Linked DNA regions of Ovis aries. The protein of the gene in region 2 interacts with the protein of the main gene of each other region in a pairwise test. Links are inferred from orthologs where the notes say so. Each region holds a gene or a part of one and is shown on either strand. Other genes may lie near its edges.

Region 1 (6,272 bases), on a different chromosome or scaffold from region 2:
GACATGGCATGGGCAGTCAAAAAAAGAGAAAACAACTGGGAGGTAAACAAGAGGTACATAATCAGTAATGCAACATTTTTGCCAAAAGTATTTAAAGGATCCCTCATGAAGTCACAACAAGAAAAACCTACAATTTGTACATTCTACAAGATAATGTCATAAACAAGCTCACCACTGAAAATGTTGCTGCTGCTGCTAAGTCGCTTCAGTCGTGTCCGACTCTGCGACCCCATAGACGGCAGCCCACCAGGCTTCCCCGTCCCTGGGATTCACCAGGCAAGAACACTGGAGTGGGTTGCCATTTCCTTCTCCAATGCATGAAAGTGAAAAGTGAAAGTGGAGTCGCTCAGTCGTGTCCGACTCTTAGTGATCCCACTGACTGCAGCCCACCAGGCTCCTCCATCCATGGGACTTTCCAGGCATGAGGACTGGAGTGGGGTGCCATTGCCTTCTCCATGAAAAGGTTGGGAAGATCCTAAATTAAGAGACTAAAGACACATAACAGCCAAATGCAATGCACAAACACTACCTGGTTGAAAATGAGCTAGCAATGCATTTTGGGGGCCATTAGGGGAAATATGAATAAAGACTGTATATTAGATAATACTATTAATGTAGTGCTAATTTTCTAGGCATAATTGTGGTTACGTTAAGAAAGATGCTCTTATTCTTAGGAGGTATCTGCTAACACAATTAGGGACGAAGTGTCCAAGATCTGCTTTTAACTTTTGAATGGTTTAGCAGAAAGTATAATACACATATATGGAAGAAAGGAGAGATACAACTACAGAGGGGTGGCAGGAGGCAGATCTTTGTGGTGACAGAACAGTTCTATATCTTGACTGCGGTGGTGGTTACAGGAAGCTACCCACTTGATAAAATGATAGAACTAAACTTACACATTGTACCAAGGTCAGGTTCCTCCTTTTACCATTGTACTAAATGGTTACATAAAACCCAACCACTGCGGAAGACTGAGTGAAGGATATATGGAACCTCTCTGTATTGTTTTTTGCCTATGTATCTATAATTATTTAAAAAAATTTTTTTTTTTAATTTTAAGTATAGATATGGGGATGTATGGGTTTCCCTGTTGGCTCAGATAGTAAAGCATCTGCCTGCAATGCAGGAGACCAAGGTTCGATCCCGGGGTCAGGAAGATCCCCTGGAGAAGGTAATGACTACCTACTCTAGTATTCTTGCCTGGAAAATCCCATGGACAGAGGAGCCTGGCAGGCTACAGTCCGTGGGGTCAAAAAGAGTTGGATACCACTGAGTGACTAAGCAGGCATGCCCGCATAGAGTGTGTGCTTGTAAATTACAGAAAGGGAAGAGAGAGAAATCAAACGTGACAGCAAGCTAACTGGTGATCGGTGAAGGAGATCAAGAGATCATGAACTATTCTTTCAATTTTTCTCTAGATTCGAAAATTTTCAAAAAAAAATTAGAACATTTTTAAGAATAATATTACTAAATAAACCATGGCACAGTTGGCATATAGGTAGGGCAAATCCTGTGAGGGTGGAACTCTTGACTGATTAAAATGTACAAAATAGCAAGAGGCATGCTGGTATATAAAGTATTATATGCTGTATTCCATTTAAGCCTCACACAACCCTGTGCCATTGGCCAGACTTCCCCTACTGTGTAGGATTTGTCCAGGGTTACTCAGTGAGGCAGGGGTTGAACCAGAGACCAAGCTCGAATGCAGACCTCTGTCCACCCCACCTTACTACTGCTTCCCTCCAAAGCTACCGCCAAGGACATACATAGTCCTGATCACAAATACAGTTGTTGCTGTTTAGTCGCAAGTCGTGTCAGATGCTTTGAGACCCCATGGACTGCAGCACACCAGGCTCCTCTGTCAGTGGGATTTTCCAGACAAGAATACTAGAGTGGGTTGGCACTTCCTTCTCCAGGGAATCCTCCTGACCCAGGGAAGGAACCCACACTTCCTGCACTGGCAGGCGGGTTCTTGACCATTGAGCCGCCAGGGAAGCACCAAATGCAAACATTAGTAGGGCACAAAGCAACACTACAGGCTTCTGTCACTCACTTTTGGTTGGTCAGATACCGATCCCAGCCACGAATAATGTTGCCGTACATCTGCGTGTCTTCCAGGTAGCTTCCTTCAAAAGCATAGATCTGTCTCTCCAAGTTTGCCAGTGTTTCCTGAGGTGAAAGACAAGGAAACAGTTGATGCCTTTTACATGCAAGCATTAAGTCGGACCAAACTGACATCCTGGTATCAGGCTTAGAAATTCAAGTTCAACGACACCGAGTCAGCCTTGTGGAGAGAGGGATGACATGGGTAGGGGCAGGCTGTTTCAGACAAGACAGTCTAGACCTGTCTTGCTGGGTGCCTTTAAGAATAAAATGAAATAGATTCTGTCCCTAGAAAAATGTACACCCAGGCAAAAGTCTGTATATACTCAGAGGCTTCGTGGAAACCCAGCTGTCAAGAAACCGCGGAGGAAGAAGGTGAGCAGTCTCCACTCCCACGCATAAAAGACACCGCTACCGGAGAGGGAAGGGTGAGCAGCCTTCCAGCGCCAACTCGCTCGCCTCCCTGCAAGCTCCGAAAGGCCGCCTGCACCGGGCGGCCGGTTGCTATGGAAACCTGGAAGGGCAGCTTCAGGTAAGATGCGCCTCCCGGTGCTCCAGCCAAAAACGCAAGGGGAGGGACGGCTTAGCCACCAGGGAGCAAGGGGCCCCAGGCGCGTGTCACAATTTCTAATTCCCTAGGCTGAGTCCGCTCCCCCTCACCTGTCATCTTCTAAGAAGTCCCCGAACACATCCCACGCCTGCCCATCAAAAGCCCCATCCAACGGATCTAATCCTATTCCCCGCAAAGACATTAACGCCCCTCCATCCTCCAAAGGTCAGAATGGATGTGTGGGTCTCCCCTCCCACATCCGTCTCCTACCCCACCTCCCCAGAGCCCACAGCCAAGCCGGAGCCGATCTCCTCCACCCTGCCGGCACGCTTGCCGCCCAATCGCTCCAAGAGCCCAGGGCCGCCCGCCCTCATCCAGCCCGCGGGGCTCGCGGACCCTCGCCGCCGCAGGCTCCCACACGGAAGCCCCCACCCGCGGGCGCCAACCTCCCTCCACGCCTCCGCCGGCCTAGCCTCCCTCCCCCTCCCCCGCTCCGCGCCCCGCCCCCGGCTCCCGGCGCCAGATCCGCCCGGCCGGGAAGCCGAGGCGCCGGCGGGCCGCGCAATGCGCAGCCGTCCTCAGGCCGGCGGACTCCCAGCCGCCGCGCTGCGCCCGGGGAGTAACGAACGGCCCGGAGCGGCCGGGCCCGGGCCCGGAGACGGGGGCAAGCGCGGGGGTTTCACCCGGGCACCCCCGGTGCCGGCCCTCACCGCCAGCTCCTGCTTCCGCTTCACGAGCTCCGCCAGCTCCCGCCGGGTGTCGGGGATTTGTGGCGGCGCCGCCTTGTTGTGCATCGCCATGTTGGGCTGAGGCGGGCGGCGGCGGCGGCAGCGCTAGGCTGGGGGCGGTCCCTTCGCGCCACCGCCCGCCAGGGGGCGCCCGCCGCCACACTGCGCCTGCGCGCGCGGCTTCCGGAGGCGCGCTGGGCGCCCCCCAGAGCTCCCGCCGGTGGGCTCGCAGGACCCCAAGGGTGCCCTCTGCCCTAGGTCCCGGCCGCATTTCTGCACTGCAGACTCACCGTGTCCAAAATAAGACTTCTCGGAAGTCTCATCAGTGAATGACTTTTAGTGTCCGCGGAATTACTCGAGTCAGAAACCTTTGTACCGGCCTCACCCTTCTTCACCCCCTTAATCCGATCCAAAACCAAGTCCTCTGGACTTGACTCGAGCAGAGCTCGTAAATCTGTTTCCTTTTGTCTGCCACCTCCCTCATTCATCCAGGCTCTCGTTTTTGGAGACATTCCAACAGCCTCCTGTTTCTATCCTTAGCTCGATTTAATCCATTATCCAAAGTGGTGCCAGGATGATTTGTTTTTAGAAAACAAATGTGTCACCTTCTAGGTAAAAACCTTTCAGTGGCTCCCTATTGCCCTTTAGAGAGACAAGTATGTGCGGTGGTTAAGGGCACAGACGAGCTGGAACAGACACCTGGCTGGTGGCAGAAATGGAGGAGGAGGAACAAAGCTGAGGTCTGGGAGATGATGATTCTGTGAGTTTTCAGACACAGAAAACAAATTTACCATTACCAAAGGGGAAAGAGGGCAAGGAATAAATTAGGAGTCTAGGATTAATATGCAGGCACTACTACATATAATATAAATAACCAACAAGGACCTACTCTATAGCACAGGAAACTATACTCATTGTATTGTAATAACTTATAAAGGAAAATAATCTGAAAAGATTCCATATATGTGAATCGCTTTTCTGTACACTTGAAATTAATACAACATTGTGAATCAACAATACTTCAATAAAAAACTAAAATTTAAAAAACGCTACCTCTACCATTGATGAGGCTGGGCCACCTTGAGCAGGTAGCTAAATTTCACTTGTCTCAATTTCCTCATCTGTATAATGGAGGTAATAATAGTGCATACTTAACACAATTGCTGTAAGTCTAATGTTGTTATGGAAAGCTTGGCCTCTCCATACACTAATGCCAAATCAAATCTTGGAGACAAAGTTTTGAGTGAAGTAGAAAAGGAAGGCTCTATCACTTTGCCAGGCAAAGGAAGACAAACTGGGCTTCTGTCTCGAAAAACTATGTGTTCCACCCTGGGAGGATGTGATGAAGGGTTTTATAACAATAATTCAAAACTACCCTCTAATGGTGGTGCTAAGGCTTCTCCTTGCGGTGGCTCCACTTGCTACGGAGCACAGGCTCTAGAGAGTTCAAGTTCCAGTAGTTACCGCACGTGGGCTCAGCAGCCGTGGCTCCCGGGCTCCAGGACACAGGCTCAGCAGAACCCGGGCTTAGCTGTCCTGCAGCATGTGAAATCTCCGTGGACTAGGGATCGAACCCATATCTCCTGCATGTTAAGCAGTTTGAGCATAGGTTGGTAAAGAATTTCCAGACACACAGCATTCCAGCAGGGAGCGAGTATAAGAATGAAGAGCAGAGATAAAGTAGGCACCGAGAGCACAGTGGGCCAACCTCCTAAGAGACCAGGGAGAGTTGACGGCTTTTGTGGGTTAATAGCCAATTTTTATAGCCTCAAGCCAAAGAAAATGCCTGCTGCAAGGTTGGTGTTAGGTGATTGGTTGGGGTGCTATAAGGTGTTTGCTGAAGTGGGCATCTTTGCCTGACTGGGGGTCAGGAAGTCAGGGAGTCTTCTGAAAACAAAAGGGGCTCAGTTACAAAGGGGCTCAGTCAGCTTCAGAGGTGACCTTGGTTCTGGGCTCCGCTTCTGTGGCCTTGGGGGCAGGACTCAACACTGCATTGGTAGGCAGGTTCTTTATCATCGAGCCACCAGGGAAGCCTCTATTCATGTTTGATTGCACTGGGTCTTTTGCTGCTGCAGAGGGCTTTCTCTAGTTGCAGTGAGTGGGAGCGACTCTTCCTTGCAGTACACAGACTTCTCACTGCAGTGGCTTCTCTTTGTTGCTGAGCACGGGCTTCATAGTTTGGGCTCACAGGCTCTAAAGCACAGGCTCAGTACTTGTGGCACACGGGCTTAGTTGCTCTGCAGCAATGTTCAAATCCTCCATTGGGACTTTTTAAAATAGACAGTCATTTCATCTGCAAACAGGGAAGTTTGTTTTCTTTTTTCCCTTTCCAATCTATGTGCTGTCTATTTCCTTTTCTTGTCTTACTGCGTTGGCTAGACTTCCAGTACTCTGTTGACTAAGAATGGCCAGAGTGGATATCCTTGACTTGTTCCTTAAGAGGAAGGTATTCAGTCTTATCAAGTTGAGGAAGTTCCCCTGTATTTCTGGTTTACTGATAGTTGTTTTTTTTTTTAATTATCATAAATGGGTGTTGAGGTACTTTTCTGGTGGTCCAGTAGCTAAGAATCCACCTACCAATGCAGGGAACACAGGTTTTATGTCTGGTCCAGGATGATTCCACTTGTCAAGGGGTAACTAAGCCCATGCCCCACAACTATTGAGCCTGCGTACTCTAGAACCCATGCCACACACAAGAGAAACCCTTGTTCCACAACAAAACAGCCCATGCACAGCAATGAAAACCCAGGGCAGCCAAAGAATGGGTGTTGAATTTTGTTACTCAAAATTAATTGACATGATTATTTTTATTTATCTTTAGCTTCTTGATACAGTGGATTACTGCATCAGTATATTTTCAAATGTTAAATCAATTCACTTTCACATGT
Region 2 (6,307 bases):
CACGATCCCACACATCTCACAGACAGCTGGGAAGAGAATTTAGCATGTGACTCCCTTGATCATCACCCCAGTTCAAACAAAATGATGGGCCCTTCAAACCTGGGGCACTGCATTAACCCCCTAAGGCTGACAGAACTGGAATAGGAGGAAGCAATTTGGGTGTGTACCCCTGAAGCTGTGTGGCATCCCTTGGCTCTGTGTCAAAATGGGGCTAAGGAGAATCCCTGCGGACAACTGGGGAAAGTTTGCAAAGAGGAAAATGAGAAGACAAAAATGTACCCATATCATTTAATTTCTGTGGGCCTGTTTTCTTCTCATCTCTAAAGAGGCTGAACTAGATCAATGTTTCATCCCTGATATCACATTAGAATCACCTGGAAAGCACTTAAAAATGCCCTGATTAGAATGACCTGCTCTGCGGTGGGACACAGACATCAGTGGTTATGAGAAGTTCCCCAGATGATTCTAATGTGTGGCCAGGTGAGTGCATCCCCAGACTAGATGGTCTCTAATAGTTCATTCTAGTCCTAAGATTCTAAGATAATGACTGGAAGAAGATAGAAGGGAGAAAAATAAAAGAAAGGGGAGACAGGACTTCCCTGGTGGTACAGTGGCTAAGAATCTGCCTGCCAGTGCAGGAGAGGCGGACTTGATCCTTGGCCTGGGAAGATTACAAGTGCCACAATGCAGCTAAGCCTGTGCCCCAAAACTACTGAGCCCGTGCACCTACAGCCTGTGGTCCGTAATAAGAGAAGCCACCACAAGAAGCCCACATACACAACGAAGTACCCCCATTTGCTTCAACTAGAGAAAGCCCGCGTGCAGCAATGAAGACCCAGCGCAACCAACAGTAACATAAATAATTTAATAAAAATAAAAAGGGAGAGAGGAAAAGAAGACAGGATGAATGGAGAGGCAAAGAGTATTAGATGCTTCTCTTCTAAAGAGTAAAGGGACCAAGAAACAGGAGTGTCATCACAGACCATCTAACCTGCCTCTTTGCACAGGCAGTCCCCACACTGGAGGCCCTGACACCGAGGTCCAGCAGCTGTACAAGCATCACACCTCTGACGCCAACTGGCTTCCAGATGATTCACAGGGATTCTTATCTGCCCTCATCCTCTTACCTGGAGGTCACTTAATTCTGTATTTCCTTGCCTCTCACTTCCGACTCACGAGCTATTTCTTGTCCCTTCCCAGAGAGTAACCAGATCACATTAGGTGTCGTATATTCTCAAGACCCAGGCTTAGAAATCCACCAACTATTATTATTTACACAAACGCAAAAGCACCACCATGTTAATGATCGGCATCTAATATGTGCTGAATGAATATTAATTGTGAGAAAAGAATGAAATCACAACTTGAAATCAGACTGAAATGACCCTTGGGGATACTTGGGGTGCCTCTGTCTCTCTCACAGGTCCTTAGACATCAGATCAAAGAGCCCTTTACACCTGGACGGCTCCGCCCACCTGGCCTACATCTGCCTCTCCATCCATAGCCTCTGAAACCTCCCTATCTTTGGGGGACACTTTGAAGGCACCTGGCTCAGAACCACTGCCGTCCAAGGACCGGGGCGTCCCAGGGCTGAGCAGATGCAGCGGGGAGGTGGGCAGCTCCCCTGCTTCCCGATCCTCATGTTCTGCTTCACTTGACTCCTCAAGATAGGAGCTGCTCTCACTGCCCACACTGCTGTTGTAACTCCGGAAGCTGTCATAGCCGCCGAAGAGCTCCAGGTCATCGTCTTCCTCTTCCTCCTCCATCGGTTCTGAAGACGGAGTCTCCTAGGAAAAGGATGACACAAAGCAGGCAGGAGCAATCGTGGTTGGCTTACTGTAAGACAAGGGAAACTGCAGGTCTGCTATCAACTCCCTTTCCAGGTCCTGGTCAAGTCAACGCTTCTGGGCCGAGCGGCAGGTACAATCAAACACCCCTTTCGTAAACACCAGGATCATTACTCTTGTTTATACCTTTCTCAACTGCAAGTCAAAAGAATACCTTAGCCAGACAGAAACATGTATTAGGAATTCACCAGGGTCCTCTGCGGATTTATACATGACGACATTTTACCACAATTCACACAGAACAGAGTGATGTGAAAATATACTAAGCATGGTGCTTCGTGAAGACATTCTGGAAAAGATGTATTCCAGAAACTCATTCTTCCCCCTTCAGCAGGTATACACCAAAGTAATTTCAACTCAAAAACAATTTAAGTCAGACGAAAGTTAATTTGGGGCCCAGACTGCCCTAAAGAGGATTTGAGGCAAATGACATACTAGCACTGTGGGACATACCTAGCTTTGGACCTAGCCTTGATCCTAACTAGCTGTGGGTCCTTGGGCAAGTTATTTAACCTGTCTGGGTCTCATTTTTCTCATCTATAAAACAACAACAAAAAAAATTGGTTCAAAAGATGTGCAATGTGAAATGAGGTATTCTATATGAATCTACGTGGCATGTAGCAGAAAAGGTGTGAAGCGTTTGGGCTCTAGGCCAAGACTCCAAAACCATCCCTACTATATGACCTGCAGCAGTTCAATCTCAGTGCCTCGGTTTCCCCATCTGTAAATGAGGACAATTCCACCTATTTCATAGGCTTTGGGGGAGAAGTAAGGGTTACTATGGGAAAGGCACTCAGAATAGTGACATGCAAACAGCAAGTGCTCAATAAATGCTGGTGATCATTACTGGTTAAAAGCACAGGCACTCAAATCGGATATGCCGGAGCTGGAATCCGGGCTCTCCTACTTAGGGCTCTCGGTTTCTCCATCAGTACAATGGCTGTAACAAGCCTTCTTTAGAGTGCTGCTGTGCGCACCCAGGCGCTATGTAAAGCCTAGTTCTGTTCCCAGCAGTCAGTGACAGCTCTGAAACTGGGAGTTATCATTCACACTCTACACTGATGATGATTCTTCTTGACTCTCGGAGAGTTTGTGAGCGATTCCACTTTATATTTACACTACATATGCAAATGTGCCAGAAAGGACATTCAAATATAAGGTAACCAGAAGCCAAATGATGAAAGGATATATGGGTTGCAGGTGGTGGGAAGAATGGGAAAAGCAAAACAGGGAGAGTTTTGGAACCTGACAGACTTAGTGCCCATCTCCTTCACTTTACAGCTGCGTGGCCCTCCTGGGGAGTGGCACTACCCTCTCCAAGCCTCAGGTGCATGATCCATAAAAAACAGACAATAACACAGGACTTGTTACTGTGGGATAACGCACGAGAACGCTCCAGATACGGAGTGTTTATTAAACTTTAATCTTCCTTTACTTCCCACCAGGATGTGACAGGCCTCACAGTCCCTAAAGAGGCCACCATGAGACAAGGGGGAGAAGGAAGATTCAGGAGCTCTCATATCCTGAACCCAGTTCCTCTTCCCCCAGGCCAGTGAAGCTGTTCTTCCCTCAACCTCACTCGGACCCAGGAGAACGGGAGCAAAAGGCGATGCCAATCGCCTCTGGCCTTGCTCAGCCTAACTACCTGTTTATCCATTCTTCCATCCTCCACCCTCCAGGCGTCGCTCAAAGGCCCACCGAGCGAGGCTCTCGGGGTTCCCTTTCCGAGAAGTCCTCTCCCTCTCACCTCGACGCCCCGGGGCTTCTCCATGAGACCTAACACAGTTTCTTCAACCGTCACCAGGTGCAGGAAGCCATATTGGCCTCGCCGCTCTCCCGGAGCTTACTCATTGGCCGCCTCCCAGGGCCGAAGGCCAATCACGCTGCAGGAAAGAGGTAAAGCCGGTTCCGCGCTGGCCTGAGCCCCGCCTCCCCTGGAGGCGGGGAAGCCGCGGGTGCTTATGGGACTTGTAGTTTCCTTTGGGCTGCGCGTGGAGGGGGTCGTTGCTGTGGCGCCGTGAAAATTTCCCCGCCCCAGACCTGCCTGACCCGGGAGGATAGTTCTTGTTTCTCCACGGTAACCTCTTGCTATCACACCGACTCCGTTCTTCATTAAACAATTATTGAGTACCTAAGAAGGTACTAGCAACCTTCCCTGGTGGCTCAAAGGTTAAAGCGTCTGCCTTGGAATGCAGGAGACCAGGGTTCGATCCCTGGGTCGGGCAGATCCCCTAGAGAAGGAAAATGGCAACCCACTCCAGTACTCTTGCCTGGAGAATCCCATGGAGGGAGGAGCCTGGTATGCTACAGTCCATGGGGTCGCAAAGAGTCAGACACGACTGAGTGACTTCACGTAAGAAAGTACTGTTCAGGCACCCTCCAGGAAAAACCTCGCCCTTTCCCTGATGAGAAATTAAACGTGCCCTAGTGCGGGGATGCCTAGCAGAGAGACTGTTCCCTGTTTAGGCAGAAACTGGAATACTCACTCTTAGGTCCAATGGTATAAATGTCCCACATGCTTAAAATTCTGCAACACTCTACCTTGCATCACCATCTCCTGAAATAAACCTCAGATATGAGGCTCTCTGCCTCATTCTTTTGGGACCCACAACGGTCTTTAAGGACCCACAACCGTCCTTACTCACAGTTCTAGGTGCTGTAGTAGAGCTTTAAAAAAATATATATTCATTTATTTGTCTGTGCTGGGTCTTCCTTGCTGTGTGGACTTCAGTTGCAGAGAGGTGGGGGTAAGGTGGGGGCCACTCTTCCTTGCAATTCGTGGGCTTCTTATTGCCGTGGCTTCTCTGGTGCAGAGTACCAGCTCTAGGACACAAGGTCATTAGTTGTGGCACACAGGCTTAATTGCTCCACAGCACGTGGGATCTTCCCGGACCAGGGATCAGAACCCTGTTTCTTGCATTGGCAGGCGATTCTTTACCACTGAGCCATCAAGGAAATTCTATCATGGAGCTTTACAAACATCTTAAATCAGGGACAATCAGTCACTGTTTCACAAATGAGGAAACAGTGGCCCTTTGGGTTTAGACACTTTCTAAGATCACATTTGATTGGAATTCAAGATTTATTCCAAATTCTTTGCCTATGCTATACTATACTCTTAATTGAGAATCTAAATATAATAAGTAGGCCTTGACATGTGTTAAATATATTTCTAAATTTGAGGTCCACTAGATACATGTGAAAGTCTTTCTTAATTTATTTGCTTTCTTCAAGACTTTCTACCTCCAACCACATACCCATGCTGTCCACGAGTACTGTTGGTTCTTCTGCCACCAAAAGGTATCCTATATTTTTAAAAATTATGTATTTTTTTATTTGACTACACCAGGTCTAAATTGTGGTATGGGGGATCTTTAGTTGTGGCATGAAGGAGCTTTAGTTGAGGCATTTGAGTTCTTAACTGTGGCATGTGGGATCTAGTTCCTGAACTAGGGATCAATCCTGGGCCCCCTGTATTGAGATTGTGGGGTCTGAGCCAATAGACAATCAGGGAAGTTCCCAGACAAAGAATTTAGAGGAGGAGGTAAAGGGCCCTAGTTGGCAGAAAAATGTAACCACAAACCTGTAAAGATTTTTAAGGAAATAAGTAGATTGTTTAGATTTTGTTTTAAGAGCTCACTCTCTAGATGCTGCATGGAAAGTGTGTTGGAGGTAGATCAAGGGAGCAGCAGGGGGACCACTTAGAAGGCTCCTGTGCTGATCCAGGGGAGGGATGCTGGTGACTTGGACCAGGGCAGACTTAGAGGACGTGCAGAAAAGTAGAAGAATTTGAGAAGTATTTTGGAGGCAGTAATTAATTGTATGGAGTAGGTTTGGAAGACGGTGGAATCCAGAATGACTGGGTAAATGTGTCAGATGGGTTGACCATGTTCTGTAGTGGGTAAAAACTGTACAAGGAATAAGTGAGTTTGGATGGTTGAATAGAGGGAATTAGGAGTTCTGCTTAGCCTGATATGCCTCCAAGAGGGCAAGAAGGTAGTGGAGTTCACCAGAGAGTCCTGAGTTAGAAATATAAACCCTGAAATTAAAAAAAAAAATTATTTGGCTGCACTCGGTTTTAGTTGCAGCATGCGGGGTCTTTCGTTGCGGCACATGGACTCTGTAACTGTGGTACATGGGCTCCAGAGTGCACAGGTTCGGTAGTTCGGGTGCACTGGCTTAGTTGCTCTGTGGCATGTGGGATCTCAATTCCCCAACTAGGGAGCGAACCTGCATCCCTCACGTTGGAAGGAGTCTTCTTAATCACTGAGCCACCAGGGTAGTTTCCTCAACACTTTGTTGTTGCAGTTTTCAACAACCTCCCTTTAAGATGGAATGAGAGTCCCTAAATCCATCTTCTCTGTGATGTATTATTTTTCACCTCTCAATGGATATATCATCAACAGTAGAAGAAAGCAAAAACCTGAGCTTTCCAGTTTCATGGCATTTCCACAAAAGTA

The links.
Region 1: the proteins of L3MBTL2 (region 2) and MEAF6 interact in binary tests that used the Homo sapiens proteins (3 or more experiments, as listed by UniProt). The two-hybrid records come from large-scale screens. The link is inferred for Ovis aries from reciprocal best matches to the Homo sapiens genes L3MBTL2 and MEAF6.

Annotation. Positions count from the first base shown.
Region 1 is NC_056054.1:12,341,158-12,347,429, forward strand, and holds the start of MEAF6 (chromatin modification-related protein MEAF6), read right to left. Parts: upstream 3,465-6,272; 5' UTR 3,457-3,464; coding exon 3,367-3,456; intron 2,173-3,366; coding exon 2,057-2,172; intron 1-2,056.
Region 2 is NC_056056.1:218,192,046-218,198,352, reverse strand, and holds the start of L3MBTL2 (lethal(3)malignant brain tumor-like protein 2), read right to left. Parts: upstream 3,686-6,307; 5' UTR 3,619-3,685; coding exon 3,595-3,618; intron 1,788-3,594; coding exon 1,547-1,787; intron 27-1,546; coding exon 1-26. UniProt on the Homo sapiens protein: Putative Polycomb group (PcG) protein. PcG proteins maintain the transcriptionally repressive state of genes, probably via a modification of chromatin, rendering it heritably changed in its expressibility.